Linked DNA regions of Astyanax mexicanus. The protein of the gene in region 2 purifies or fractionates together with the protein of the main gene of each other region. This does not show direct contact. Links are inferred from orthologs where the notes say so. Each region holds a gene or a part of one and is shown on either strand. Other genes may lie near its edges.

The links.
Region 1: the proteins of mtmr2 (region 2) and mtmr12 purify together in Homo sapiens (affinity purification with mass spectrometry; 5 studies listed by BioGRID and IntAct, with this or other methods). This does not show direct contact. The link is inferred for Astyanax mexicanus from reciprocal best matches to the Homo sapiens genes MTMR2 and MTMR12.

What each region holds. Positions count from the first base shown.
Region 1 is NC_064429.1:14,739,989-14,747,407, reverse strand, and holds the start of mtmr12 (myotubularin-related protein 12), read right to left. Parts: upstream 3,007-7,419; 5' UTR 2,896-3,006; coding exon 2,827-2,895; intron 1-2,826. UniProt on the Homo sapiens protein: Acts as an adapter for the myotubularin-related phosphatases. Regulates phosphatase MTM1 protein stability and possibly its intracellular location. By stabilizing MTM1 protein levels, required for skeletal muscle maintenance but not for myogenesis.
Region 2 is NC_064408.1:38,192,746-38,199,820, forward strand, and holds the start of mtmr2 (myotubularin-related protein 2), read right to left. Parts: upstream 3,011-7,075; 5' UTR 2,851-3,010; coding exon 2,786-2,850; intron 1,423-2,785; coding exon 1,326-1,422; intron 1,153-1,325; coding exon 1,132-1,152; intron 1,002-1,131; coding exon 938-1,001; intron 561-937; coding exon 466-560; intron 74-465; coding exon 1-73. UniProt on the Homo sapiens protein: Lipid phosphatase that specifically dephosphorylates the D-3 position of phosphatidylinositol 3-phosphate and phosphatidylinositol 3,5-bisphosphate, generating phosphatidylinositol and phosphatidylinositol 5-phosphate.

The DNA of each region.
Region 1 (7,419 bases), on a different chromosome or scaffold from region 2:
CACACAGTATATGTTATGTTTACTGTCAAGTAGCACTGTGTGTTACCTGTGCATTTATCACAAGGCTTACACAGAGTGGTGCATGATGAGTCAGTACCAAACTCTTTATTTGATGAGGACAGTTTTAGTGGTCTACCAGGCCTTGCATTGTTTGTTGTCACAGTGCATTTTTAAATCATCATTTAAACTACCAGTACATTTAAAATTCAGCAATTTTCTAAGTGCAGACTCTGAGTTAAAGAGAGATGAGTTACCAGATGACATGTTTGTGTTTTAAATTCTATTAATCTAAGACAGACTCAGGAAAACATATTTATCATGTTTTTATAACAGAAAAGGAGAGAAGAAGACAGAATTGCCTGCAATATACTCCATTAAGGAAAACATGTTTAAAATATATGCTAAAATAGCAAAAGACACAATTTTCTTAAAGCATAAAGAAAAAGTTACACATTAAGACTACTTTTTTATTTGTGGTTACAAAACGACGAGTAAGGAAAAAGGGCACAAAGCAAAACCTTCAGATTGCACCTCTTAATTTAATGACAAATATATCAAATATCCTGAAGGGGTTTAAAAAAAAAAAAAAAATCATCATTAGGTTTTAAATAGAATTAATGAATTCATAAAGAGAAAGAAGGGAACGAAAAACAGCTGGCCTGTTTATTTACATAGAGATGACTTAAGGACATCCCGTGGGAACAGTGGCATCCTGAGCAGTGAGCTGCTTCCTGTTTTACATTCTACAATTGTTATTTTATATATATATATATATATATATATATATATATATATATATATATATATATATATATATATATATATATATTAATAATAATAATAATAATAATAATAATATTGTAAATATATATATATATAATACAGCTCTGGAAAAAGTAAGAGACCACTTAAGTTTCTAAATCAGTTTTTCTGATTTTGCTATTTATAGGTATAGGTTTGAGAAAAATTAACATTGTTGTTTTATTCTATAAACTACAGATAACATTTCTCATACATTCCAAATAAAAATATTGTAATTTAGAGAATTTATTTGCAGAAAAAGAAAAACAGCTGAAATAACAAAAAAGATGCAGAGCTTTTAAACCTCAAATAATGCAAAGAAAACAAGTTCATATTTATAAAATTGTAAGAATTTCGAAATCAATATTTGATGGAATAACCCTGGTTTTCAATCATAGTTTTTATGCGTTTTGGCATGTTCTCCTCCACGAGTCTTACACACTGCTTTTGGATAAGTTATCTCGGTGTGATGGTTTGTGATCATCCATCTTCACCTTTAAATGGTCTCTTTTTTTTCTCTCTCTTTATTTATGTTACATTTATTTAGAATATGCAGTACCATTCATAGGTTTGGGCACACCTCTTCTCATTTATTGTGTTTTCATTTTGTAAAATTAATATTAAAGACATTAAAGCTATATTTGGAATTATTCTGTAAACAAAGTGTTAAACAAAACAGAATATGTTTTTATACTTTAGATTTTTCTAAGTAGCACATTTAGCTTTGAGGACAGATCTTTAATATTTAATGTCTTTTAATTAAAGAAAGAAATAAAGCACTGAAAAACACTGAATGAGACGGTGTGTTTCAGTCATTATTGCTGAGCTCAGTAATGCCTGTAGTGTTTACTTAGAGAGATGGCATGTTGACTTTGTTTAAAGAACTTGGATTTGTTTATTTATGCTAAACTTTAGGATATATAAATATTGGATTTAAATAAATATTATACCCAAATCCCAGTATCTTAAAAAGTGTTTTATTATGTATAATAATAAGAATGAACAGCAGTTTTTATAAGTAATTGTGTTAATGCATTATTATGCTGTTATTTTACCATGGTATCATAAAGTGTGGCATAAAGTGGTCTTAAAATGAAAGTAATATCGTTTTAATAACAGGCCTGTATTTATAGTAAGTGAGTAAGTTAGTGAGTGAATGAGTCTTGTGAGCTGTTTACTATATATAAAGCTGCAGTGGGTCAGTCAGTCAGTGATAAACTGGGTGTGAGAGTGTTAGGAGTGTATAAACCACATAAACAGCCTGTTTCAGTCAGACTGTTCTCATCTATAAACTCCTTGCTATAACTGTAGTTTCTGTAGGACACTTTACACACCTCTAATACTCCTCTAAACCCGGGTTAAACTCGGGTTTATCTGCAGCTTCGCTAAACACAACTAAACTAAACTAAACTAGCCTTAACCCCTCCGGCAGCTCGGGCTGCTGTCCAAACCGCGGCGTGTTCACTCCCCCCGGTCACTTCTCTCCTGTGTTTGGATCGGAGCCGGTGTTCTGTCGAGTTGTGCTACCTTGTCAAACCGCGCTGCACTAGTAGCATTTAATTAATAAAAAAAAGGTAAAAGTACCAAAAAAGCACCTTATTAGAAGCCATATTAGAAAATACTCTCAGCAAGAAGCTTAGGTAGGATATGTGGCCAGGCTAAATCACTGTTTTAGGTAAAGTAAAATGTTAAGGTCATATAATATGTGATTACAAAACGTATTTTTATATAGTTTTATAGTTTATTATTATTTTGTTAACTGCTATTTGCAGTGTTTTAACATTCAATCAGGTTGTTTAATGTTCACAATAAAAACTTAAGGAATTATCGTGAAAAACATGAAAACATTACAAAAAAGTGTAGTTCAGCGCATGCGCAGTCCTGTAAAAAGCACCTATCGGTGGGTAGCATAACTCGACAGAACACCGGAGCTCGGTAGTTGGGTAGTTAGCCGTGTTAGTTAGTTAATGTTATGTTAGTGTTAGTTAATGTCAGTCGGGTTAGCAGCGGTAACGGCGCGCTCACCTCGGGAGTAATGTAGGACACGAAGGACGGTTTGCTGGATTTCGCTCCTCCGCCTCCTAAACTCAACATCGCGGCGGCGCTGCTGATCGCGGGCCGGATCCGGTCAGGTGTGAACCCGCGGCCGCTCGGACTCGCTGCCGGAGCTCCGGGAGGATTTCCGCGCTCGGAGAGTAGTAACCTGTTAAACCGCGCCCGGCCCGCCGGATTGGCTCCTCCTCACAGCCGAATATTCACCAAGCTGTTGGTGCGCAGGAGCCGAGCCTCCTCATTGGACCGCCCGGCTGTCAATCAAATCCCAGCGTCCACTCAGGCGGCACTTCCTCAGCGGGGAGCGAATAACGCGCCGTGTGGAGTGCGGCCACGCCCTTCATTGAGACCGAGCCATTTTTCTCACTGACAGACAGAAAACTGTGAGAAAATAGTAAGCTTTACAAGCTTATGCTGTTTATACGCTACACGAATCTAAAAAATACTTTTAACAGACTAGTCTGACACCCTGTCACATCTAAAGACAAATATTTAAAGACAGACTTTTTAGTCACAGGCTAAGATTTAGCAAAGACTAGGGATCACTAATTGCAAGACTGCAACTAGATTCTTTCTAAGATGGAGTTAATATACAATACATATTACATATTAAATTACAAATAATGTTTATATATCAATACTTTGATTTATCAGAGACTACTTCCCATCAACAGTTTATTTTTCTGCCACACTGTTAGTCTTGATATTTTTTAAACCCCCTTTTTGCTACAACCTTGTATAGCAAAGAATCATAGCAATAAAGAACATTCTTGCAAAATGTGTATTTATTATACTTGTTTGTATCAGAAATAACACAGCACAATAAGACAAAGTAGTGCACAATAATATATTTTAATTCAATGATGACATTAAAGCGCTACCTGTATTTAAAATACTGTACATATTAAAGTAAGAACCATATTAGGGCATATTAACTGCAAAATGTGTTTTATTTTTAAAATCGTTTGTAAACAGTCATGTAAAATAGTCTTGCCTTGCTGCCTCCTGTTGCTCTACTATTGGTTGACACTGTTCACGTCATCACGTCTAATATCTTAAGACTTACGATAACATTAAACACAGTTGATTTTAGCTGAACACCAGGACTAAAAAAATGACTGACTAAAACCTTCAATCCTAACCACCTTACTCTGAACAATCGAGATAAGGCGACCACAACTCGACTCTAGAAAGACTCTGGAAATTTGTCTGCGACAGTGAAATCGCTTGAAAATTATTAGGTGTAAGGTCAGTATAAAAGAGTACTGATCAAACTGTATTTTCCCAGCTTGTTAAATATAAGGATATCTGAATCTTTATGTCCTATTTCCTCCCCGATGTTATATTATTATCTGATTTCTGACAAAATTGTTGGTACCTCTGAATTAATAAAATAAAATCTGACAATTAATAAATAAAAATTCTTTGAAAATGAACAAATAAAAAGTCAGACATTGCTTTTTTACCATGCTTCAACAGAATTATTACAAAAATAAATAAACTCATGAAACAGATCTGGACAGAAATTATGGTACCCTTATTTTAATATTTTGATGCACAATTTGGGCCCACTCCTCATGAGCAAACTGCTCCAGTTGTCTCAGGTTTGAAAATTATGACTTATTCAGACATCATGTTTCATCTCCTTCCAAAGATGCTCAATAGGATTTAGTTCAGGGCTCATAGAAGACCACTTCAGAATAGTTCAGTGTTTTCCTCTTTGCCATTCTTGTGTGCTTTTAGCTCTCTCTGTGTTTTGGGTCATTATCCTGTTACAAGACCCATGACCTGCGACTGAGACCAAGCTTTCTGACACTGAGTAGCACATTTCTCTCTAGAATCTCTTGATAGAGATTTCATTGTATCCTGCACAGATTCAAGACACCCTGTGCCAGATGCAGCAAAGCAGCCCCAGAGCCTCCTCCACCATGTTTCACAGTAGGGACAGTGTTCTTTTCTATACATGCTTAATTGTTCCGTCTGTAAACATTGAGCTGATGTGCGTAAATAAAACGACCCATTTTTTTCTCAACTGTCCATAGGACATTCTCCCAGAAGCTTATGGCTTGTCAACATGTAGTTAAAAGTGGTAAATTCTACCTACTCAAATTCCTGTAATTGGTCTAAAATTCTGAACCATCTAGAAAACTGTTTTCACACAGCAGACAAATCTGACCATGGTTCAGTAGATCTAAGCAGACTACCTCTTTTGGTTGGACCAAACTCTAGTCCTTTGGTTCAGACCATGGTTCATGGCCCCTTTTAAACCTGCTATTTTGGTTCAGACCCAAACAAGATGGGTGTTTAACAAGCTTAAAACTTTCTAACCACAAACTTATGGACTGTCACTTTTAAGCTGCATTATGTAAGAATTAGCATGTTTTACACTGTATGTGGGAGTCTAATTTACTTTACTTTTCACCACTCCCGTAAATGCACTCATTTACCAAAAAACTCTTACAAACCCAGATAACAGCAAACTCAGCATGGAGTTATTCATGTCTAAGGCAGATATGTGATGTGTGGGCCTGTCACCCATTTGAAAGATTTTAAGGTTTTTCCATTTAATGCACATATTTTGTTGAGATGTTCAAAAGATTTGTATTGCTTTCTAAACATTGTCTCTTCATTTACTCAATGGTTGAGTACCATTGCTGCACAGTGTTGCCAATAGACAGTAAAAGGATATTTTGGCATTTGTTTTTTCTAAAGAAAAAAGGTCCCCGGCAGGGCTACTCAGAGTCATTTTCCATTGCAGACGTTAGCAGTAACGGTCTCTTCCTGTCCACTGCCGGCGTGAGCAGGCAGGACGCTCTCTCCTCACATATCCTTCCTCCTCCTGAACAACATGCTCAGATTATGCTGTTGATCAAAAACATGGAAAGAGGAATGTTCAACCAATACAGTCCAAATACTATAAACAGGAATTCCATTTATTCACACGAGATATTCAGAGCAGCTCAGAGTATTGAGGGTGATTTTAGACAAAAATAATAAACCAACAAAAGACACGTAAAATAAAGTTCTAAATAAAGTATGAGACAAATAAACACATACGTAAACTCATAAGTTACTTATTTATACAATTTTATTCTAATAATTTCAATATTCACTTCCTCTGCAAAAAAGGGCACATGCTAATATTTAGTAGGACCGCCTTTAGTTTTCACAAACATTTACTCATGTCCAGAGAGCTTTATTAAAATTTCCACAAAATCTTGATTGTATTGATGATGTGATTTAAAGCACATTCCAAAGATTCTCATTGCTGTTCCCAAAGGTCTGGACTTCATGCTCCCTGAACCCTGCACTTCTTCACAATTCCAGCCCCATGAATCCTGGCATTGTCATCTTGGAATATGCCTGTGTCATCAGCGAAGAAAAAATTAATTGCTGGAATAACCGGGTCCATATTCAGTATATTCAGGTAGTCAGCTGACCTCATTCTTTCAGCACATACTGTTGCTGAACCTAGACCGGACCATCTGCAGCAACCCCAGATCATAGCTCACAAAACAGAAAATGCTTGCATTAAAATATTAAGGACTGAAATCTATTAAGTAATTTTCACCTGTAATTTTCTTAACATTACATGTATTTGTGTTCAGTGCTTTACCTATTAGAACCTGTATGTAAGCTACACTTCAGTCCTTCACCCTCATATGTACAGTTTTATAATTATTAACCTCAGTTTTTAACTTAATTGGTCCTAGATCTAAACCCTGTGGTACGCCACAAGATATGATATATTAATCAACAGTTGATTGCATTTTTTCCATTCCATTTCATAGTTAAATCAGGTAGTAAACACTGCAGTTCACTGCTTGGTACTCTTGTTTCCTCTGTCTAAATCTTTCTGAGATTCTCAGTATGAATATTGTTTTAACCAGAAACAATAATCAATCAAGAAACGTACCTAATCAAACTAACATACAGACAGACACTGGCAAGCTCACACAACAGGTGTAGAAATATTGGCAAAGGATATGGCATGAACCATTTATATGTGGATTACATGTCTATCTTACTGTGTTTCAGTGAAATGGCTTGTAGGTGGTACTTGGAAGTTGTAGTTGGGTCATTAGTGGTATGTGGTCTAAAATGCTCTAGCGTATTGAAGCTGTTTTTGCTGGCTAGCCTTTAGCCTTTAAGACTTTCAGGCTACACAACACGAAAACGAAGGGTATTCTATCAGTAGTTTCAATTTGTTTTATAAACGCACAGTACAGTTCCAGTTAGATGTTTTTTCCTTTTAATTACCGTTTTTATTAGTTTCAGTTAAAAAAAATGTTTTTTCACTTTCAGTTTTGGTTATTTCGTTCGTTTTGGTTAACGATAAAAACTGGTTACGTAGCTATATTGTGATTATCACGCCAGAGCTTTATATATAAAAAATATATAATTAAAAAAGCAGATGCCTACATCTCAGACTATTTTCTAGAGCCCGACCCAAGTTGGGTTCAGGCAGAAAATCTAAGCTCTACATAGATCCCTTGTAGACATTAAAAAATGCTAAACTAAACTGGAGACATATCAAACTGCCTATGTTAGCTAACAAGTTAGTTA
Region 2 (7,075 bases):
GACTGGACGCGCCGCCAATCTTATCCACTCTGCTGATCACTCCTAGTGGCAAATCCAGCACAACGCCAGGCTCCTACACACACACACACACACACACACACACACTTAAAGCTGCAGTAACACAGTAACATACTGCTACTTGATCGGTCATAAAGAACCTATAAAGTTTACATGGCTCTCATCATGGACATAAATGGCATCTGAAACCAACACAGGGTCAGAAATATACAAAGTGAACATCTTATATTAGTATATATATATATACACGTACATACATTTTAAGCAACAAAAGTCACAACAATGCAGTTTGTAATAGGACTGCACAGTATATCATTTTAGCATTGTTGGCCTAATGTGTGTAACAGTCACATTGGAGAATGTGCAATAGTTTTAAATGTGGTCCAATGCAAACTAGAAGTAGTGAAAGTGCTGATAGTATCTGCAGTTCATGATTATGTGTATTACCCTGTTAATTCCTCTGAAGAGCAGTCTGTAGTTGGTAACAGTAAGTGTTCCCCGCAGAGCTCCAAGAAATGGACAGATGTATGTCACATCTTTGCCTAGACACAAAAAAAAAAAAAACAGAACTGAGGTCAGTAGACCACATGCAGCAGACCTTAAAACAGGGTCATAAAAGGGTTACTTTAAAATCATACCCAAAATTACACTTTACTTTTACCTAAACAGTACTCTAATAAATTACATGTTTGCATATTTGTAATTGTAAAATCTTCTTAAAGTGCTAAAACAGCAGAAATTATTACAATCTTTAAAATATAAGTGTCAGATAGCATATCTTGTTGAAAGCTGTTACAGAACAGTTAGTGTCCTCCTCCAAGTGTGTTGAGCCTCAATGGTGCTTCTGGTGTTTCAGAGCAGCCTTAACCCAGAATACTTAAAATTATATCTGTTAAAGTAATGTTTATTAGTGCCTCACCCACGTCCTGCACCACCTCCTTTGGCAAGAGCTCAACATCATCCTTCCCTGAGTCTCTGAATGTCTGAGACAAAGACAGAGAGAAAGAGAGAAAGAGAGAGAGAGAGGGAGGGAGAGGGAGAAAGAGATTATAATTTCAAACAATATGAGCTTGTTTTGTGTATTAATGTGTAAACTAGGCAAACTAATACTACCTTTGCAGGCTTTCCCTTCACCTGTGAAATACAAACACACATTTTAGTTAAAAATAAAAATTCAGGACATAACAATATAACAATAACAATAATGAGCTTTAGAAAAGCTCTACTTATAAAATATACATATTATTATTCCTAATTTATTTATCCTATTTAAAATATAATGAAGAACTAATAGTTATGATTCTCACCCGTAGCTGGGGTGAAAGATCACTGTTGGAGTTTTGCTCTGAAGAGATTGATGGGCCTTTGGTCTGAAAGGACCGATCTGACCGAGATGTGGAGGAGCTGTGGAATAAATAACTTGGAATTACAAATGTAATACACAAACACATGTTCTGTGCCAACAAATTTGAGCAATCCAGCTTTAAAAGTCTTTCCTCTCTTTTTGTATGAACTGTCTGAATGCACATGAACACAGTCTGCATGTTAACACAGAGAACAGGGAGACGCAATCCAAATTACCTCAAATTGCAAATATATCAAGACCTATTTACCAAGACCAAGCAAAAAATTGTTATATTCACCTGGTTCTCCCTATTGGAAACTATTTTAATAAAAAACAGGTGAACCAAGAGTGATGCTAGGAGTGTGCCATATCATACTATACACAAAAATATCCCCCAATTTTTTAAATACCATTGGCCCAAATGGACTATCAGGGTACAACTGTTATTGTTGTTTGTAGCAAAGTGGAAAATTCACACTATTCTCCGTCAGTCCTGGATATATAAAGTATTAGCATCACTACATGTTGGATCATTGACTTCTGTTACAATCTCAATTAGGGCTTTTCCACTTCATATTGTATGCAATAATTTCACCAAATTAAATGTAATATTCACTGTGTTGCAGTAGTTTGTTCTTGAAATCAACTTTTCTTTAATTCAATGTTTTGTATACATAACGTCACATCGCTATCGCAAAAATACTGTGAAGTATCACAATATTATTTTAGGGCCAGCCCAAAGTGAAATGTACCTACGGTTTTCATTAATGAAAAGTCTTGTTATAAACATGACAGGGCATAAAAGTCATATTAAAACCTGTTTTATATATATATATATATATATATATATATATATATATATATATATATATATATATATATATATATATATTCTGTATTTAAGGGGGCTTTAGCTACTTTTACTGGAGTAATATTTCACCCTGGGTATCTAGTTACGTTTATTAAAGAAGCTAGATACAAAGTGTATGTGCCTTTTACACCACTGACAGATAACTTAGTTAGCTGTGGCAGATACTTAACGAGGTACAATGTAATTGATTTAATGACACGACAGTTAAATGGAGTGGCTACTTGTCAACACTAGCTAGCTTAGCTTAGTTAGCTAACCTATAAGTGTTGCTATAGGTACAATGATAGTTAGCTGAACATGTAAATAAACTGACATTATCAGTTAGCTAGCTCAGTTAGCTAACTAGTTAATTAGCTCCAGCGGAAACCTCCCGGTTAACCGGGGTCTAGTACTCATTAGTGTTTCTCCGTGTAGCAGAAATATTCTCCAGTAGTGGGTTTTAAACTGTTTCTGTGAACTCCGCTGTGTTTTTTCCAGGTAATCTGTGTTTTTCCCTCAGTATTAGCGGTTAGCCGCGTTAGCTCGCTGCTGGCTGTAAGGGGCGGAAGTACCTGCAGAGTGAGTCCAGGCTGGGCTGCCTGGAGCCCGGCGACTCCCCGTTAGAGCCCGGGTCCATCAAAAAGGAGAATCACCGAGTCCTGCAGGGAACCAGCGACTAATCCAGCGATCAAACCAGCATTTAGATCCGCCGACCTCCTCACAACCACAGCTACAGCAGATCAACACACACACAGGAAGCTGCCATCTTTACCCACAGTCCCCCTCTCTCCCTCTCACCTCACCTCAGCTCACCCCAGCTCAACTCAACACTCTCTCTCTCTCTCTCTTAAAATGTGAAACTCATAAATACATGTATTACACACAGAGTGATCTATTTTAAAATCCGCATTTCCACAAGTTGTCAGCAGAGAGTACTAAGGTATTCAACATTTTTGTACTTAAATATTGCAAGTAGTTTATTCTAAAATGTACAACTCAAGTACTGAAAGTAAAAGTAGTAGTGTTATGAATAATAACAGAGAGCAGTCAGACATTTAAATTTCATATTGTTTATAATATTTTCAATATTTAGGCTAAAGGGCATTTACAATATATTTAGCTGCAACACCAGCACAAGCACATAAATGTACAAGTTAGAGTACATGTACATCATGTCTTCAGTCAACTCTCTAAACATACTTACCCAAAAGTCATTAGGATATTTCAACCCATTTTGCACAAAAGGTCACTAGTCGGTCTATCACTATTGTAAAATCAACTTCAGCTGTCAAAGGACAGATGCGTGTTTTTTAATTTTAATGAGTAATGATGCAGCACTCAAAAATGTATCAGTGTATTATTATACTCATTGAAAATATGCATTGACAAAAGTAGAGGCAGGAGAAAAAAATAATACTCCAGTAATTAAAGATTTAGTTCCTCAAGTATAATTTGTTAACAGTATTGTGCAAATGTTTTAGGCACCTGTGGGAATTTCAGTAAAGAAAAAGCTTCTTTCTGTGAAGTTAGTGTTTATCAGCTCAGTAAAAACACTAACATTACAATAAATACAAACAGCAATTTTACCAAAAGCAATGCTTTTACAGCACTGTTTACCTTAAAACATCTTCTAATCTCTCCTCATCTGAGAATCTGTTCATTCACAGTGAGTTCAGTTGGGTGTACTACAGCAGAAAAACCATTACAATGTGCATGGCAGTGGGTCTCCCGGACTCAAGATCAGCTAGGCATCCAGAAAAAAAACAACACACCCAATGTTGGCAGGCTAGCTCGTTAACTAGCTTTTGACCAGCAATTTGTGCAATAATTGTGTACTATTTTAAAATATTTATAAAAAAAGACTTGGACATTTACTACAACTTGTACTACTGCAGTTACTACTGTTGGTGAGCAGTGCAGCCATCTTGGATTCTGAACTCAGGGTTAGTAACCCTCTTTGAGTTTTCCAGGTAGAAAATATTTTAAATTTCCTACTTGGAACGTCCAACATCCAAGTTCAAAATGGAATGCAGCACGTTTGCTCCTCCCTAAACTGAAAAGATGAAAAATAAAATAATAATGTAAACCAGTTAATGGTTTACTAAAAAATAACATGCGGCTTGTTGTCATTGCTTGTTTTTGTTCTCTCTGAAAGATGTCCATTTTTTATGATTTCTCTCTCTTTTTACGCGTGCCCTGCTTTATGTCTAAAACATGCAGTCCCACTGTATAACTGGTGTGTGTGTGTGGATGTGCGTCAGAGTGTTAGTCTCTGTGCTGTGGTGGGTGTGTATCAGCGGACTGATCTGAATGGTAAAAAGAACAGTACAAGCAGCCATTGTATGCTAATGGTAGCATGGGAGCGGCTACAGCGTGACTGCTCTTCATTAGCAATGCAAAGTCGCTGAGCTGTATCATAACAGCCCTCTCTCAAACTCACACACATCAACCCTTTCTGCACTGCTGTTAACTCCAGCTGCTCCGCTTCTTTCTCAGCACGGACCCCACCAAACCACAGGTAAACCCCCAATCTTATCTACAACTACCAAACAACCAACACACCATTCTAAACTACCAATACAACACTCTCAACTACAACTACCCACCACTCTCACTTGCAAACACCCACCACTTTGACCTCCACCTCCAACTGCCAATCACTCCTACCCAAACTACCCATTACTGTCACCTTCAACTACCCACCAGTCTCACCTCCATCTACTGACCACCCTTACCTCCAACTACCCACCACTCTTACCCCAACCTCAAACTGCCCCTCACCCTTACCCCAACTACCCACCACTCTCAACTGCAACTACCCACCACTTTGACCTCCAGTCTCCAACTGCCAATCACTCTTACCCCAACTACCCATTACTCTCACCTTTAACTACCCACCACTCTCACCTCCAACTACCCACCCCTTTGACTACCATCTACTCACCACTCTCATCTACATCTATCCACCACTCTCAACTGCAACTACCTACCACTTTGACCTCCATCTACTCTCACTTTCAACTACCCACCACTTTCACCTCCAACCTCCAACTGCTAATCACTCTTACCCCAACTACCCATAACCTCCATCTACTCACCACTCTCACCTTTAACTACCCTTCACTCTAACCTCCATCTACCCACCACTCTCACATCCAATTACCCACCACTCTCACCTCCAACCACCCACCACTCTCACCACAAACTACCCATCACTCTCACCTCCCACTACCCAACACTTTCATCTTAAAACTTCCACATTAAACCCTTTAACTACCCACCAATCTCACCTTCATCTAATCAAAACTCTCTGCTCCAACTACCAACCACTCTTACCCATTGCTACCCACCACTTTTAGATTCAACCTCCAACTCCCCACCACTATCACATTCAACCTCCCAACTCCCCACCACACTCATTCCAACTACCCACAACTTTCACCTCAAACCTCCAACTACCAACCACCTTTTCTCAAGCTACCCACCCAACTCACCCCAACAACCTACCAGTCTCACCTATAACTACCAACCACTCTTACCACAACTACCAATTATCATCTCCAACTACCAAGCACTTTCATTTAAGTACATCCACCCTTACTTCCAAATACCAATCACTCAAGACCTGCATTCTAACTAGCCTCCATTCTTACCTCCAACCTCCAACTACCCACAAGTCTCCTCAAACTACCTACTAAAACTTTCACCTTCAACCTTTAAAATACTGAGCAAATAAAAAATTGGTGGAATGAATATGAAACAAATACACATGTAAAATTTGAATGGTAATCCTTGGTAATCCTTGGTAATCCAGGCTGTAAGAAGCAACCAGGATAGTTTGGATGCAAATGCAAGGCAGGTTTATTTATGCAAAAACACCAGCCAAAATCGCTGTCAAAAACAGGTAGAGATAAAAAAATAAAATAAAATAGAACACAAGGCAAAATTCATAGTCAAAGAGCAGGCAAAGATCAACAACCAAGAATAACAAACAAAGTATATAATGCTTGATAAGAGTGGCAATATCTTACAACTGGAGACAGTAAGAGAACCAGTATCAATAGTCCAAGTAATCAGTTGAAGTCTTACAGGTGTATGGAAGAGGTGGAGTCAGCTTATTAGTACTCCGGAGAGGCTGATCTAAAAGGTGCAGTGTGTGCAGGTGTTACACAGGCTCTTCATGCTGTAAACTACACTTTATATCTGGTAACTACCTCCTCAGGCCACATGATTTGTTCACTTTTAGCTTATCCAGAAAATCACGTGTAAAGTGTTTCCTTTATGGGGCAGTGCAATGCTGCTTTACTGTTAAAGACAGAAGCCACATCAGGGCCTGTTATGAAGCCAAGCATTTTTAGGCATTGGAGGAGGCCAGACTCATTTACATTTGGATCAAGGATTGGTGCAGCTTGATGTGAAGTCAAGGTGCAAACAGAGAAAGAAAGCTACTGCAGCTAACCCATTTGTTTGGCTGAGGAAGTTTTCTATACATGTTGGTGAATCTGTGAGCAGCATGACTTTTTTGCCAGGAACACAGTCCACTAGTTGCAACAACTTAATCATTTTCATTTTTTTCTAAAACGTTTTGGCAAAACCCCACTGTAAAAAGTTTCTTGATCTGACTGTATTCTATTCTATTACATTTCAACTGTTGAATTATAGCAAAAGAATCGCACATGTTGAATGTGAAGTAAATGAGGTACAGGATGTACCCCCCTCCCCAAACACACTGTTGGATTGTCCAGACACTCGTTGACCCTCGCGTCACATTGTGCAAAGGGGGCGGAGAACTGACTAAGTGATAAGGGGTCACATGGGTGTGTGTTCTTAAACAGTGGCAGCAACAGCCAGACTGGCTGACA